Linked DNA regions of Astyanax mexicanus. The protein of the gene in region 1 purifies or fractionates together with the protein of each later gene. This does not show direct contact. Links are inferred from orthologs where the notes say so. Each region holds a gene or a part of one and is shown in the gene's direction. Other genes may lie near its edges.

Region 1 (7,005 bases):
GGTGATATTTTGGGTGGTGGGTCATTATTCTCAGCCCTGCAGTGACACTGACATGGTGGTGGTTTATGAGGTGTTAGTGTGTGTTGTTCTCGTATGAGTGGATGGGACACAGCAGTGCTGCTGGAGTTTTTAAACACCTCAATGTCAGTGCTTTACTGAAAATAGTCCACCAACCAGAAATATCCAGCCAACAGCATCCTGTGGGCAGTGTCTCTGACTTTACATTTACAAGGTGGAGCAGCTAGATAGGAGTGTATAATAGAGTGGACAGTGACACAGTGGGTACATTGTTTAAAAACTCCAGCAGCACTGCTGTGTTTGATCTACTTGTACTGTATCAGCACAACACACAGAGTAACTAACACACCACCACCATGTCAGTATCAGTGCAGTGATGAGAAGGATTCACCATCCAAATGATACCTGCACTAGGGTGATGCTGTGGGGTCTTGAGCATTGAAGAACAGGGTGAAAGAAGAATAATAAAATATGCAGAGAAACAGATACAGGACTACAGTCTGTAATTATAGAACTATATGAAACAGATTACCATATTTTTCACGCTATAAGGCGCACAGGATTATAAGGCACACTATCAACAAACGTCTATTTTTCTGGTCTATTTTAATACATAAATTGCACTGGATTATAAGGCGCATTTAAAGAGACACTATAAGGAACTTCTAATTCAGCAGGTCTCGCCACTGTGTGGTGGTGGCGGGTAGCTAACTAAGTTAAGTAAAGCTAAGCTAAGTAAACAAAACTGTCAAACAAGCACTGGATGTTAATCTACACACATTCCTCTCCTGAAAACTGTTTATTTGGGTGAGTAAAGTGCTTCTGTTTATTTACAGTGAGCTTAGATTCCCAAATTTTTCAAGTACTAAGGCTGGAGCCTTAGCATTAACAGCTAACTGCTAGTGGTTAGCGACTAATGCCGCCTGAGCTACACTGACGAACCCTGAGTGTTCCGGGTAATAGCCAGGGCAATATCACCTAGAACACCTAAAACAGTTCGTCCCACGTACCCTGTTTTAACACGGTAGACAACGCACAAACAACAGTCCAATATACTAACCTTTGAACAATGAAATAGCTAGCACAGATAGCAGCTAATGCCAATACTGCTCTAGCAGTGCAAGCCAGGGTTGGCAGCAGGCTACAGGCTGATAATACTCACCTCTGCACAGGGAAATAGCAGCTAATGCTAATGCTACTGTTCAACCACTGGTGGAAAGTTGTATGCAGTAAAATGTACTACATACACTTGTAATGTAGTTACAGTTGTCTATCTTTTTGTTGTCATGGGATGACCAATGATCCAGATATGTGTGTATGAAATATACAAAAAAAAACAATTCTGGATATGGCAGTCTGTCTGATTATTTATCTACTAATTATATGTCTGTCATTTCAGTATGTACTTTACAGAAAGTATTTATTCTGAAGTGTTGTTTTAGTGTTTTTTTTAGTCTACAATTCTAAAATGTCTATAAACGATGGCAATTTTTTAAAATTGAAATTAAATTCACAGTTTACTTTATCACTTTTAACACCCTGACCTTTATCTCATATGTGTTAAAATAAACAACAGGGGGATTTTAGAAGTGGCTATAGTTATTTTTATTTTTAAACAGTAACCCAGAGCATGCTGCTCATTTTAATGCCTCAGCTCTTGTGGTCACTCAGCCCTGATCAGAAGTGAAAGCACCAATATAGACTTGCTTAGAAGTCAGGTATATTTCTGCTCTATGTGTTCCACTCTCTACCTCAATGTGCTCACTTCTGCATCTGAGCGTGAAATGAGCGTTTAGAGAGCGAGCGTCCGATACCATGCTGTGCCTTTCGTTTCCCATTCTCATATTGGTGGTATGGAGCTTTAAAAGGGAAAAAATCTACCATAGTACACTTCTGTGCATATATTAACCATTTGAAATCAACCTTAAATAAATCAATTACTTTATTTTATATTTTATTTTAGTTTATTAATTTTTATTTAAACACATCTTAGTTGTGGTGTATATATACAGCTCTGGGAAAAAAATTAGACCACTTAAAAAAGATGAGTTTCTTTTATTTTACCAAATTAAAAACATCTGGAGTATAATTAAGAGGAAGATGGATTATCACAAGCCATCAAACCAAGCTGAACTTCTTGAATTTTTTCACCAGGAGTGGCATAAAATTATCCAAAAGCAGTGTGTAAGACTGTTGGAGGAGAACATGCCAAGATGCATGAAAACTGATCAAGGTAAAAATGTTATCCATAGCTTATAGAATAAAACAAAAACAATAGTAAACAGTAGTAACAGTAGGTGCAGGATTTATTATTTTTTGCATTATGTTTCTTTAATATTTAAACAAACAAAAAAAAACTAAATAAAGTTTGCTTGGCTTAAATAACTAACTTCTTTCATAACCTTCTAATCATTTACTCAGCATTTTCATTTGATTGTATGTATTTCTCGTGGGAACTGTCTTTTATAGTTTTGGAAATGTAACAGGGTGTGTGTTAACAAATGGACAATAATAGAATACAAAAGTAAATAAAAAAACAGCTTAAAGAGAAAATTCTAAGATTGTTTAGCAAGGTTTTGAAAAGGTTCCAGGAAGGTTAGAGAAATTATTTTCTAGAAAAGGTCTGAAAACGTGTGACCAAAATAATGGTTTGCATCACAATGTTATTAGAACATTTATCATATAATGTTCCAAGCTAGATGGAAACCTTACTAAAAGTAGCATTGCCAAAGCTTAAAATTAAAACATTGACAGTGTTGTTTCAGCAACGTTACCAGAACGTTTAAAAATGTTATAAGAACATCCAAAATACTTGACAGATAAAATGTTTAAAGAATGTTAACTAAAATGTTCAGAAAATGTTCTACTAACCAAAAAAAAAAACATTGTTAGCTTAAATGAACACTTTAGAGATCTGTTTTATGTGTGGATTAAATAATGTGTTAACAATGATTATATATTACGTCATACAGGAAGAGGATGTTAAATAAAGTCTAAAATATAAACTCTTGTGTTGTTAAATGTTATGTTTTATACATTAAATTCACCAATGAAAATATTCATTTTACTTTAATGTGAGTTTTAATTAAACACATTTTGGTTGTTGTGTATTTATATACAGCTCTGGAAAAAAAATAGAGACCACTTAAAAATAATGACCAAATTGAAAGCATCTGGAATATAATCAAGAGGAAGATGGATGATCACAAGCCATCAAACCAAGCTAAACTGCTTGACTTTTTGCACCAGGAATGACATAAGGTTATCTAAAAGCAGGGTGTAAGACTGGTGGAGGAGAACATGCCAAGATACATGAAAACTGTGATTAAAAAACAGCGTTATCCAGTGTTATAGTTTATAGAATAAAACCAAATTATATACATAAATAAAGTGGTGCAGGCAGTTTTTATTTCATGTGAGATTCAATTTAACACATTTTAGTTGTTGTGTATTTATATACAGCTCTGGAAAAAAATTTTAGACCACTTAAAAATTGGGATCATCACAAGCCAACAAACCAATCTGGACTGCTTGAATTTTTGCACCAGGAGTGACATAAAGTTATGTAAAAGCAGTGTGTAAGACTGGTGGAGGAGAACATGCCAAAATGCATGAGAACTGAGATTAAAAACCAGGGTTATCCGTAGTTATATATAGTTTATAGGATAAAACCATATTGTTAATAAATAAATAAAGTTGTGCAGACAGTTTCTAATAATCCTCCAGAGGATGACCCTCCATCTTTCTTCATGAATGAATGCTAAAGCAGTGGATTGTGCAAGTCAGGACAACACTACATGCAACAGCTGGAAACTCCTAGATATAAAGAGAGAGAAAAAGAAAGAGAATTTAGTAGACGTACAGACAGATGGACAGAAAGACAGACGAGCATAGAGGCAAGAGGAACTTCCCACACTTCCCACATTATGTCAAGCTTGGTTGCAGCATACTTACAATCAGCACCTCCTGTCCGGCAGTTCCTGTCAGAGCAGTTCACGCAGCGTTAGTGGAGTAGCCGAGGCTGAGATGAGTCTGCCGACCAGGGAGCAGTTTGAGGACTGGGGTCCGGCTCAGGTGGCCCTTTTCCTGACTCAGGTAAGAGATCAGAGAAGTGGTCTTTAGGATTTCTCCTCAGGAACTGTGCTGAACATTCTGCAGCATTTTCAACACAATCTCTATCTGACACATCTGTAACACGCAGTCAGATAACATAGGGACTGTACTTTCCTTTACTAAAAACACACTTAATAAACTAACAGAAGATACTTAACCATATAATATACTCTTATTTAAGTGTGTTAACAACTGTCCTGACCTTTAACTATACGCAAAATTAGTGGTTATAGAAAGTCAAGCTTGTTTCCCTTTCACAGATGAGAGAACAGATAAGCACATTGAGCACAGCCCGAGCTTTCACCACACGTGAACTGCATTTTAAATATGGTGTGTGCATGTGTGTGAGTGTGTGTGTGGTTTAAGAACTGTTACAGAGGTGCAATATTATTTATATTTTTCGAACAGAACAAGATGCGAGAGTGTGCTTTAACAGTACAGAGGATGAAGATTGATGGCCGCTGGTTTCTGGTAAGAAGAAATAAATGACTACATGGTGCTAAATGGGGCTAATTAAGCTTTCTAACACTTTACAATAAGACTACATTACTTAACAGTTATGTACTGTACTTACAACAGAATGTCTCATCTAGGCATTAATTGACACTAGTTGAGACAGTATTAATAATAGTAACAATTTAATGAACTCAATATTTATATAAAACATAAGCAGTTAAATTATATTGTAATGAACATATTAAAAAATATGTTAACTAATGTCAGTTAATAATAAAAAAATGTTTATTACCGTCCTATATACCTTTACTGAGAAGTGTTAACATGCTATGTGTACGTATCTTATCAAATAATACGATTTATACTATCTAACCTGAAATAATCTGAGTTGTCCACCCCCCCCTCCCCACTCACTCACAAGTCTCCACAAGTGCCCAAACACAACATAGTACATATTTACTTGATTAATATCAGTATAATCTACACTTAAATATCATCTGGGCAATTAAATCCCCTGGTTTTGTTGTTTTTGTCATTTTGGAGCATCAGACAGAGCAGGAAGCTGATAAGTGTGTTTGAATCAGAGCTGCAGTTTGGAGTCAGGTGAAGAGAAGCTGCTCTGCACTGAATTTGAGAGCTTAATTTTTTTAAGATAAAAGGCTTGAGCCCAGTAACAGCGAATCTTCTTCTTCTTCCTCCTCGTATTTAGTCCCACTCGAGGGTGGGGTCCGTGTGTTTGGATGCTCGTCATCATTTTGTTCGATGCAGGGCGCTTTCAAGGGCGACGCATGCGTATTACATGTCTTCTCTTATCTGGTCCATCCACCACTTCTTTGGCCGTCCGCAAGGCCTCTTACCTTGCAGGCTTATGTGCGGGGCCCATTCATGATGAATTTTTGAATTTTTGCACCATGAGTGGCCTAAATTTATCCAAAAGCAGAGTGTAAGACTGGTGGAGGAGAACATGCTAAGAAGGTCTGAAAGCTCTGCATCTGTTGTGTTAATATCAGCCATTTCTCATTTTCTGCAAATAAATGCTCTAAATGACAATATTTTTATTTGTAATTTGGGAGAAATGTTGTCTGTAGTTTATAGAATGAAACAACAATGTTCATTTTACTCAAACATATACCTATAAATAGCAAAATCAGAGAAACTGATTCAGAAACTGAAGTGATCTCTTTTTCTTTTTAAGAGGAGTATATATATATATATATGGTCAAATTCATGCAAATATCTATTTTCTGTTTACATACATTTCAAATGAAGACTTTTGTTCGTAAATAGTATTTATGCATCTAATGTCTATCTTTGCACTTTTGTCCTCTGTTCTGGAGAACTTGTACTGTACAACCCAGTATGAGTATAATACCGATAAAGTTTAATTTAATTAAACAGCAATACAGCGGTGTAAAATACCAGACTGGACTTTCATTTAAAGAACACTCACAAAAGATCATGCATGCTAACGTGGTTAACAATCAATATAAGACATGCAGTACTAATTGGGATTTGCTACTTTTCCATTTCCCTGAACCAAATGAACAAAAACCCAGAGTTTCTGCTACAGATGTGCTGGAACTATGATAGAGTAGAAATGGGGACTGACTGGTCCCTGAGGACTTGACTACACTTGTCTACTCCATTACATTTTGTAAGATGAATTCAATTTTCCTGCACTACATTTCCCCTAAGGGGTGTAGTTACATTTTAGAAAAATGGCAATACCTTGCTCCCAATCCCTTTAGATTAATATATAAAGCTTACCCACAGTACACACACTGTTTGTACTCTGTGTTGTTATTCAGTCAGTGCCTTTATCAGGCCTCGGCAGGTTAAAATTACACAACAGAACAGAAACGGATCACGGAGGTTTAGCTAAATGTTTCATTTTCAGTTTGTTTCTTTATAAAATATCAAAGTTTGATTTTTTTTTATCAACAGAAAAAAACAAGATCTGCTACCAATTCCTAATTAATCTTGTCACCAGCTAATCTTACCTCAACTTCAGTCTCTTTAATGTTCAAAGGATTATGAAAGATGAAAGTGTTCGTTAGCAGGGAAGTCACTGATAGATCATTACAGGTGATGAGAATTAAAAAAAGATAAAAGTTGTGAAAAAGTAAAAAAAAGAGTGTGATTAGGGAAGTGAGATGACAGAATAATGGCACTTCCTCTGCTAGGAAATGTGTAACACATGGGCTTTTATGATGAAGTCACTAAAACACCCTGTCATAACCCTTTCCTGCGATAAACGCTTTACCATAAAATCTGTCTGATTTATTCAAATGTGAACTGGTCAGTTGGTTTGGTCAGACATGCAAATTAGGCTGAGAATGCAGCACAACACAAAAAGTGAAATTAGGGAAGTGCTTGGTCTATGAGGTGAAATGACTTAATTCAGATTTAAAGAAGCTC
Region 2 (7,442 bases), on another chromosome or scaffold:
GAGGGATGTTTGTTTTAGGACACTGATATCATTAATTAGAATATTCTGTCTCATCATAGCTTAAGAATTCTTCTGCTTTCAGTGTAAAAGAAAAGAAATCTTAAGATTCTTAAGAACTTCTGCTTTAAAGGTCTCATTCCATCGTTTTGTCCTTAATTTTAAAATGTCTAGTTGTCGTCTCTTATGTAAATGAAAGCAATGTAAGCTGTTTTTTTGTGAAAAAAAGTGCTCCAGTGATCCGGTATAACACTTAACAGGATTGTGGCTCTTGCTCATGAATATTCATTCAAATTCATACTAACATATCGCCTCTGATTGGGTAACAGCACTGCGAGGCAGTGAGACGGACAACAGTTAAAACGTTTTAAAATAAAGACATTTTTACACTAATAACAGTCTTTGCAACGTCATATGTTACTTTACAACATGTGTAATGCCCTGCTAAGTGCAGTTCAGCCACTGACCTAGTCTTAGAGTCTCTGTAAAACGGCAAATCCACCGGAGATCCTATGTAAACATAGTTATTTACACAGAGGTGGGTAGTCCAAGTTCAAAAAGTAAAAATCCACCCCAGGGTTGGCTGAGCCGCAGCAGAGCCACCCAGTCAGTTGGAACAAACCCCTGGGGTGGATTTTATTTTAACTAGTTTATTTTAAGCAGAACTGTTTTAAACATACACCTATCTGTCTCAATTGTACTTCGCTGGTGGTGTTCACAAGAACAGTTTCAAGCGCAGCATTCATATACAACTCAGAGAGACCTTTTGTATTTCACAAAGAACAAGAAAAAGGTGGATTTTAGCAGAAGGAGACCTTTAACTAGTTTATTAATTAGTTTGCTATTTTCGGAAGCCATGTCCATGTAGTGATTCACTTTCCCATGTTTGAAATTGTTCCATGCTGTCGATTCTAAGGTGAGACTGCTGTTGAGATGAACGTCACTGTAGAGTTTACAACACCTTAAGTCATTCAATCCTGTCAGTGATTCATCCTTTCAATTAATTAGCTACTTTAGGATCTTCCGAGGTGTTAAGAGGTTCAGAGCATACTCATATTTTTTCCCTGAACTGTGCTGCAGACTGGATCTGAATGTTCTAGCAATTGCAGAAGGAGCTTATTGAGTTCTTGTGACCTGCAGTGCAAATGAAATTACGGAAAAAAGCACAGCTTGAAAAGACCCACTTCAGACCACCTTTAAAATTATTTCTAAGCCTCAGTGAATCTGAATCATTCTGTGTTATATAACAGCCTGACCAAATCTTGTCTTCAGAGTGAATTGGAACCGAGGTGGCTCTGACCCATTGTAAAATAAATGAACCGATCATTCCAACCTTATTTTGTGTTATTATTGAAGCGTAGTTTAATTCAGAACTAATTAAGCTAACAGAGACACGCAGTGACATTGATGTGAAGCACCAAAAGCCTTGTGTGGAGAATTATTAGCAATTTTCTAAATGATAATTTTAATTTAAAATTAAATGTAAATTGATTGACTATGTATTAGTATTGTCTGGTTTATAAAAAAATATGTGATTGGCCAGAATTCCTCTAATTAGGCAATTCTGAGGTTTTTAGGTTAAGAGATACAGCAGCTCTATGGGAGGCTTCTTTGGGCCCTATCTTTCAACCTACTGCTTCTTGCTATCTTACACCCTGCCAACAGTATAAATAGCAATGGAGCTAGTAAATATATATCTATGCAGATAGGTGTGGTGGTCCCAAAATAAGGTGTGTTTAGTTAAATGTCTTGCGTATTGCTATCTTGGCAATAGAAAACACAGGTACCCCAGTGACAGAAAAAAATGTCAGATAAACGTAAACAGTACGACTTTCATTGTTATCTTGGCAACAGGTGCACTGTGCTTGCACAATGCTTGTACACCCCTGCACATTACACACACACACACACACACACAAGGACATGCATCAGTGCACAAACCCAACTTTTACACCAACAATAAACAGAATCCAAAAAATATATATTGCTGTTCCCATTAATGACCTACTCACGCACCTTTAGAGCATGAGCGAGTAAATCAGTTTCCTCTGCTTAGACATGCTGGACACGTCAAGGTAGCTCCACCTTTAAAATAGCAATCCACCAAAGTCAGAGCATACCTGGCTCTTAAAGAAAATAGTAAGTGAGACACTGATTGGTTTGTTCCACATTACACCCAAAACACACCCACGATTAATTGAGATAATTAATACATGTCTTTTGAGTGTTTCGAGCCGTGCAAGGAGTACTTTTCCCAACGTTATGATAGCAAAGAAACACTGACACGTCCTTAATCAAGCTGCATGGTGCACAGTTGACGGCTCACCTTTAGATCGCTAAAATAGGGCACTAAATTAAACTACCAAGCATGCTCATGGATGCATACACTCATTTGAGCCAATGTTGTGCTTCATTTGGTACACTGCTTCTGCTTCATCAATCTTTTAAAAAGAAAGAATGCTTGTAGAATGTGTAAAACTAACATGCCCACTAGGTGAAGCAGCAAAAAAGCCTTTTCATAACACTAACTGGATAACTCTCTCTCGAGTTCTATTCATTCCACTTTGAACTCCACAGTGCATTTCTACACAGACATTGACAGACTCTCTAAGCTGGTGCTCGGACTTCTATAGAGTGAAACTTGGATCAACTAAAAAAGAATCCAATGATGATGCTATACCAAGTTTGTATAAAAAGGTTATTTCCATTCCAGCCTTCGGTAGGTATTTGTAATTGACTGCTCATACTGTACCATGAGCAATTAATCCCATCTTCTCAAGTGTGGGTGGCTGAGATGGGTTGCAGGTTAGAGCAGGACCATATGCCCTATATGCATATCCCACAGATCAGGGCAGCGTTTTTTAGTTTCTAATATGTTTCTAGCTTCTAGGTTTATGCACCACAGCAAGCCTTTGAAGGATCCTACACCTTGAGGTTCGTGGGACTCCAGAGGCATCAGCAGCTTCTCTCTTAATCCAATGAACTTGTCTGGCAGAAACCTTCCTCATTTTGCCTTTATCTGCACGAACCCGTCTGTGCTCTGAATCAGCCACAAATCTTTTCAAAGTACGATAATCACGCTTAAGTTTACGTGAAAAACTAATGTTTTCATACCTTGTCCAAGGCATTGCACTATTTGATGCTTTTTGGCAGCAGAGAGATCCCTTATCTTTCCCATGTTGCTTAAAACCTGTGGCCTGCTTAATAAAAATAATAATGTGGAATCCTTCTTAAGTAGTGTTCCTTAAATTGGGCTCACCTGGCTAACTAATTATCTAATTATCACAGGTGTCTGAGATTGATTTCAGTGATCCAAAGAGCCGTGAGACACAATACCATCCATGGGTTTAATTGAGAAACAAAAAAAAAATCTTTGTCACACTTAAATCCAATTTGCATAATAATTTGGAACATGGTGTACAGGTTGGACAATGAAACTGAAACACCTGGTTTTAGACCACAATCATTTATTGTCCCGACGGACAGTTCTGGTGGAAATTGAATTCTGCCGTGATTTGGGCAGCCGTGTTTTTATTTTAATGTTTTTTGGATACAATCCGAGTTAGCACTCAAACATCCCTTTCAGACAGCTTCCTCTTGCGTCCACAGTTAATCCTGTTGGATGTGGTTGGTCCTTCTTGGTGGTATGCTGACATTACCCTGGATACCGTGGCTCTTGATACATCACAAAGACTTGCTGTCATGGTCACAGATGCTCCAGCAAGACGTGCACCAACAATTTGTTCTCTTTTGAAGTCTAGTATGCCACCCATAATGTTGTGTGCATTGCAATATTTTGAGCAAAACTGTGCTCTTACCCTGCTAATTGAACCTTCACACTCTGCTCTTACTGGTGCAGTAATGTGCAATTAATGAAGATTGGCCACCAGGCTGGTCTAATTTAGCCCTGAAACCTCCCACACTAAAAGGTGTGACAGGTGTTTCAGTTTCATTGTTCAACCCCTGTAGTTCCTAGATAGATGGAATGTGGCAGTAAATAGTAGTCTGTCAATATAAAGTTTTTAAATTTTCTTTAGGGAAACTAAATCATCAAGTCATTTTTTTTTGAGTTATTTTTGCAGAGTGCGCCTCCTCCAGAGCAGATGGCTCAACACCTTTTTATCACCCGCAGCCAAGCACCAAAAAAACTGAAAAAACACACCGATCTTGGATCGTGAAACGTGAAAGCGGGCCACCGCCGGCGAGGGCGTGCCTCCAAACTGGAACATACCCTGAGAATGCATGTTTTCAAATAATAAAAGAAAAAAGAGCCTCCTTTCAAGACGGTGGGTTCCTCTGCACGACTGAGCCACGATCCAATTATAGCCCCAGAGAGCGTGAGGCGAGCTGAGCTTCACGCAGTGTGTGAAGAGGAGCCTGTGATGTTCACAGAGCTGCGCGTGGATGTGTCTGGATGTAGGCCAAGAGCTCACGTGCGACCGAGATCACGCAGGTAGGGGAACAAGAAGGTGCCTCGGGCCTACAGCCTACAGCGTGCTTGTGCTCGGCTGCTGCTTCTCTTACTGTACCGGATCTTTTAGCTGTTATAGATGTTGTGTCTGGATTTCGGATGTTCGGAAGTTCGGATCTGCAAGTGTGTGTGTGTTTGTTTGTGCATGGGCTGGCTGGGAGGGTACGGAGGGGGGTTGAGTTTGCTGCTGGGCTCCAGTAGGAATGATCTAAGGAGGGAGGTGCATCACGCTGGGTTGCTGGAGGTGCACAGCCCACCCTGTAGTGTAGGACTGCTGTGTTTGCTAATGCTAATACTGTTGTAATACACTATGCATAGAGAGGAAGCTCAGTCTCCTGGGACAAACTCTGTCTCTCTCTCTGTCTCTCTCTGTCTCTTTCACTCTCCTCTCTGTCCGTCTCCATTTTTCTCGGTCTGTGGGAGGTTGTTATCAGCTGCTGTGATTGGCTGGCCAGAAAGCAGGGCAGAATGATGGCTGGCGTGGGAGATGCCCACTTATTCTCTCTGGACAATTTCTTAATGTTGCCTACTTGTTATAGCGATAGCATTAGGGATAGCATTTGGCCAAAAAGCTACACTGTAAAAAAATATATTCATAGGGTTGTTAATTGTGTAACATTTACACAAAATAGTTGAATAAGCAACTGAAAGAGGAATTTGGAGTAAAATCTGTGTTACATAATTTTATTGTGTTTTATAAAATTAACAATTTATTTGGATAGAGAACACACATATTTGAGTATGTATTGGGGTAGTCAGTTACAGTATATTTAATTTTTTTAATGGTTGACTGCTTGGTCACAGAGTTGTAGGGCAGAAGAGTAAGTTACCTTTTTTTTACTACAAAGTATGTCTTTATGCTGGATTAATTTTCCAGTGGAATGGGAAAATTGACTTGCACAAGGATAGCAGGGTAATTTTTTACACAGTATCAAGAAACAGATACACAAGCTAATCTCAAAGACTAGAATGGCAGGGACAGTAACAAAGTGGCAGCAATAGTAAACAATATACCAGGGAGAGAGCAGGCAAAATGGGTCATACAATGAAACAAATGAAATGCAAGGTAAAAGAGCTAGGAAATAAATGCAATACCAGGCAACAAGGAACAAAAACATAAAGGTAATTATATTAACAGGTCCAGATGTGTGTAATCAGAAGCTTGGCGAGTTAGAACACTGTAGCATCATATGATCAGCAGAGTCCGGAAGGTGTAAGTGCATGCTGGGAGTTGGAGTCTTTAATGTGTGCAGACTGACAATGTAAGGAATGACACAATCATGTCTATTATATGATAGATAGATAGATAAATATAAAATAAGCAAAATAATCTAACACTTAGTAAGACAAAAAGTCTTATCAGAGAAGAAAATAAGTTTTATTGCCTTAAATTTAGAAATTTTCACTTGCTAAGATTTAGTTTTTTGCAGTGTAGTCAGACAGACAGACAGACAGACAGACAAACAGACAGATAGATAGATAGATAGATAGATAGATAGATAGATAGATAGATAGATAGATAGATAGATAGATAGATAGATAGATAGATAGAATGGAATTTGAGTTGAGCAAGGTCGTGTTCTGAAGGCCAGATGTATTGAACATAGCATTTCTGAAATTGTGCATGGCATTTAAAAACAAATGGTGTTTAAAAACTCCAGCAGCATTGCTGTGTCTGAACACTTGTACCAGCACAACACACACTACTAAAACCACCATCATACCAGTGTCCAATCTGCAGTGCTGAGAACAACCCACCACTACAGACAATACCTGCTCTGCTCTGCTAGCAAGAGATAGATAGAGAGAGAGAGAGAGAGAGCGAGAGAGAGAGAGAGAGAGAGAGAGAGAGAGAGAAAGAGAGAGATATTGTAGTTTGTAGTGTTTGATGAGGCATGCAGACAATGAATAAACCCAACACCAAAATGACAGTCATCAAGGTTTAATGAATATTTTGGGGTTTGGCTAAAATTGGACGCGTCTCTGAGATTGCTCTTCGCTCTGAGGTTATTCTGGACTCAGACAAATATTTTTACATATTTTTGTGAAGGGATGGAAAGTTATTGCATTTTATATTACTGCCTCAATTTGAATGCATGAATTTTACATGAGGCCAGAAGATTCTCTACAGGGACACTCAGCGCTGAGCACTTTCCTAAAATGACTTTGTTAGATTGCCTTATTCAGAGAGTGATAGAGACATTACATTATACAGAGAGCTTCACAAATATACGTGTCACTGCTGTCTTATCAAAACCTCATCACACCACCAATTTTTACCTTTACTTTTTACCTTCGATGAACATTTTAGGACGAACTATGAATGGGCCAACCCAAGTGGTCTAGAATTATGATGTATGTTGCCGTTATCAAAATCTTAGGTCTCCGGCAGCCGATAGCAAGCTACATAAACAGGATTCGAACAGGCGATGTCCTAGTAACTGACCTTTTTTTACACAAACCTGTAGAGTCAATGCAGCTTGAGTCCACGCTGTGTTAAAAACGTTAACGGGCATCTTGAGGTCACACACTGAACAATTTATTGCTGTTATAAACTCCCTAATAATCCATTTAACTCTCTATACCTTTAAACCATCCTTGTAGTACACTGTGTTCTTGAAGTGATGCGTGGAGAGCTTCTGGATTCTGAACGCTCTGAAACGTCCCACATCACCTCCTCCACCACCCTCTGGCCTCCACTATTTCTCTTTTTCCATTCTGCACTTTCTCATTTAGTCAGGTCATAAACTCAGAGACCCTTTTTTTTCTTTAATACGTTCTGTCCCTGAACAGGTCTGTCTCCTTTTTCCAGTTCTGCTGCTGATCTGGGGAATGGAACAGACATGCTTTGTGGTCTGTGACGGCACAGAGAGATAGAATAAAAGAAGAACAAAAGAAACAGAGATACAGAATATGAGTGATTATCTCTGTGTAATTGAACCCTCTCCACATTATTCCCCATCCTTTCATTTGT

Evidence for each region.
Region 2: the proteins of blnk (region 1) and syk purify together in Homo sapiens (affinity purification with western blotting; 3 studies listed by BioGRID and IntAct, with this or other methods). This does not show direct contact. The link is inferred for Astyanax mexicanus from reciprocal best matches to the Homo sapiens genes BLNK and SYK.

What each region holds. Positions count from the first base shown.
Region 1 is NC_064414.1:41,074,828-41,081,832, forward strand, and holds the start of blnk (B-cell linker protein), read left to right. Parts: upstream 1-3,983; 5' UTR 3,984-4,044; coding exon 4,045-4,113; intron 4,114-4,539; coding exon 4,540-4,602; intron 4,603-7,005. UniProt on the Homo sapiens protein: Functions as a central linker protein, downstream of the B-cell receptor (BCR), bridging the SYK kinase to a multitude of signaling pathways and regulating biological outcomes of B-cell function and development.
Region 2 is NC_064427.1:26,190,959-26,198,400, forward strand, and holds the start of syk (tyrosine-protein kinase SYK), read left to right. Parts: upstream 1-4,426; 5' UTR 4,427-4,450; intron 4,451-7,442. UniProt on the Homo sapiens protein: Non-receptor tyrosine kinase which mediates signal transduction downstream of a variety of transmembrane receptors including classical immunoreceptors like the B-cell receptor (BCR).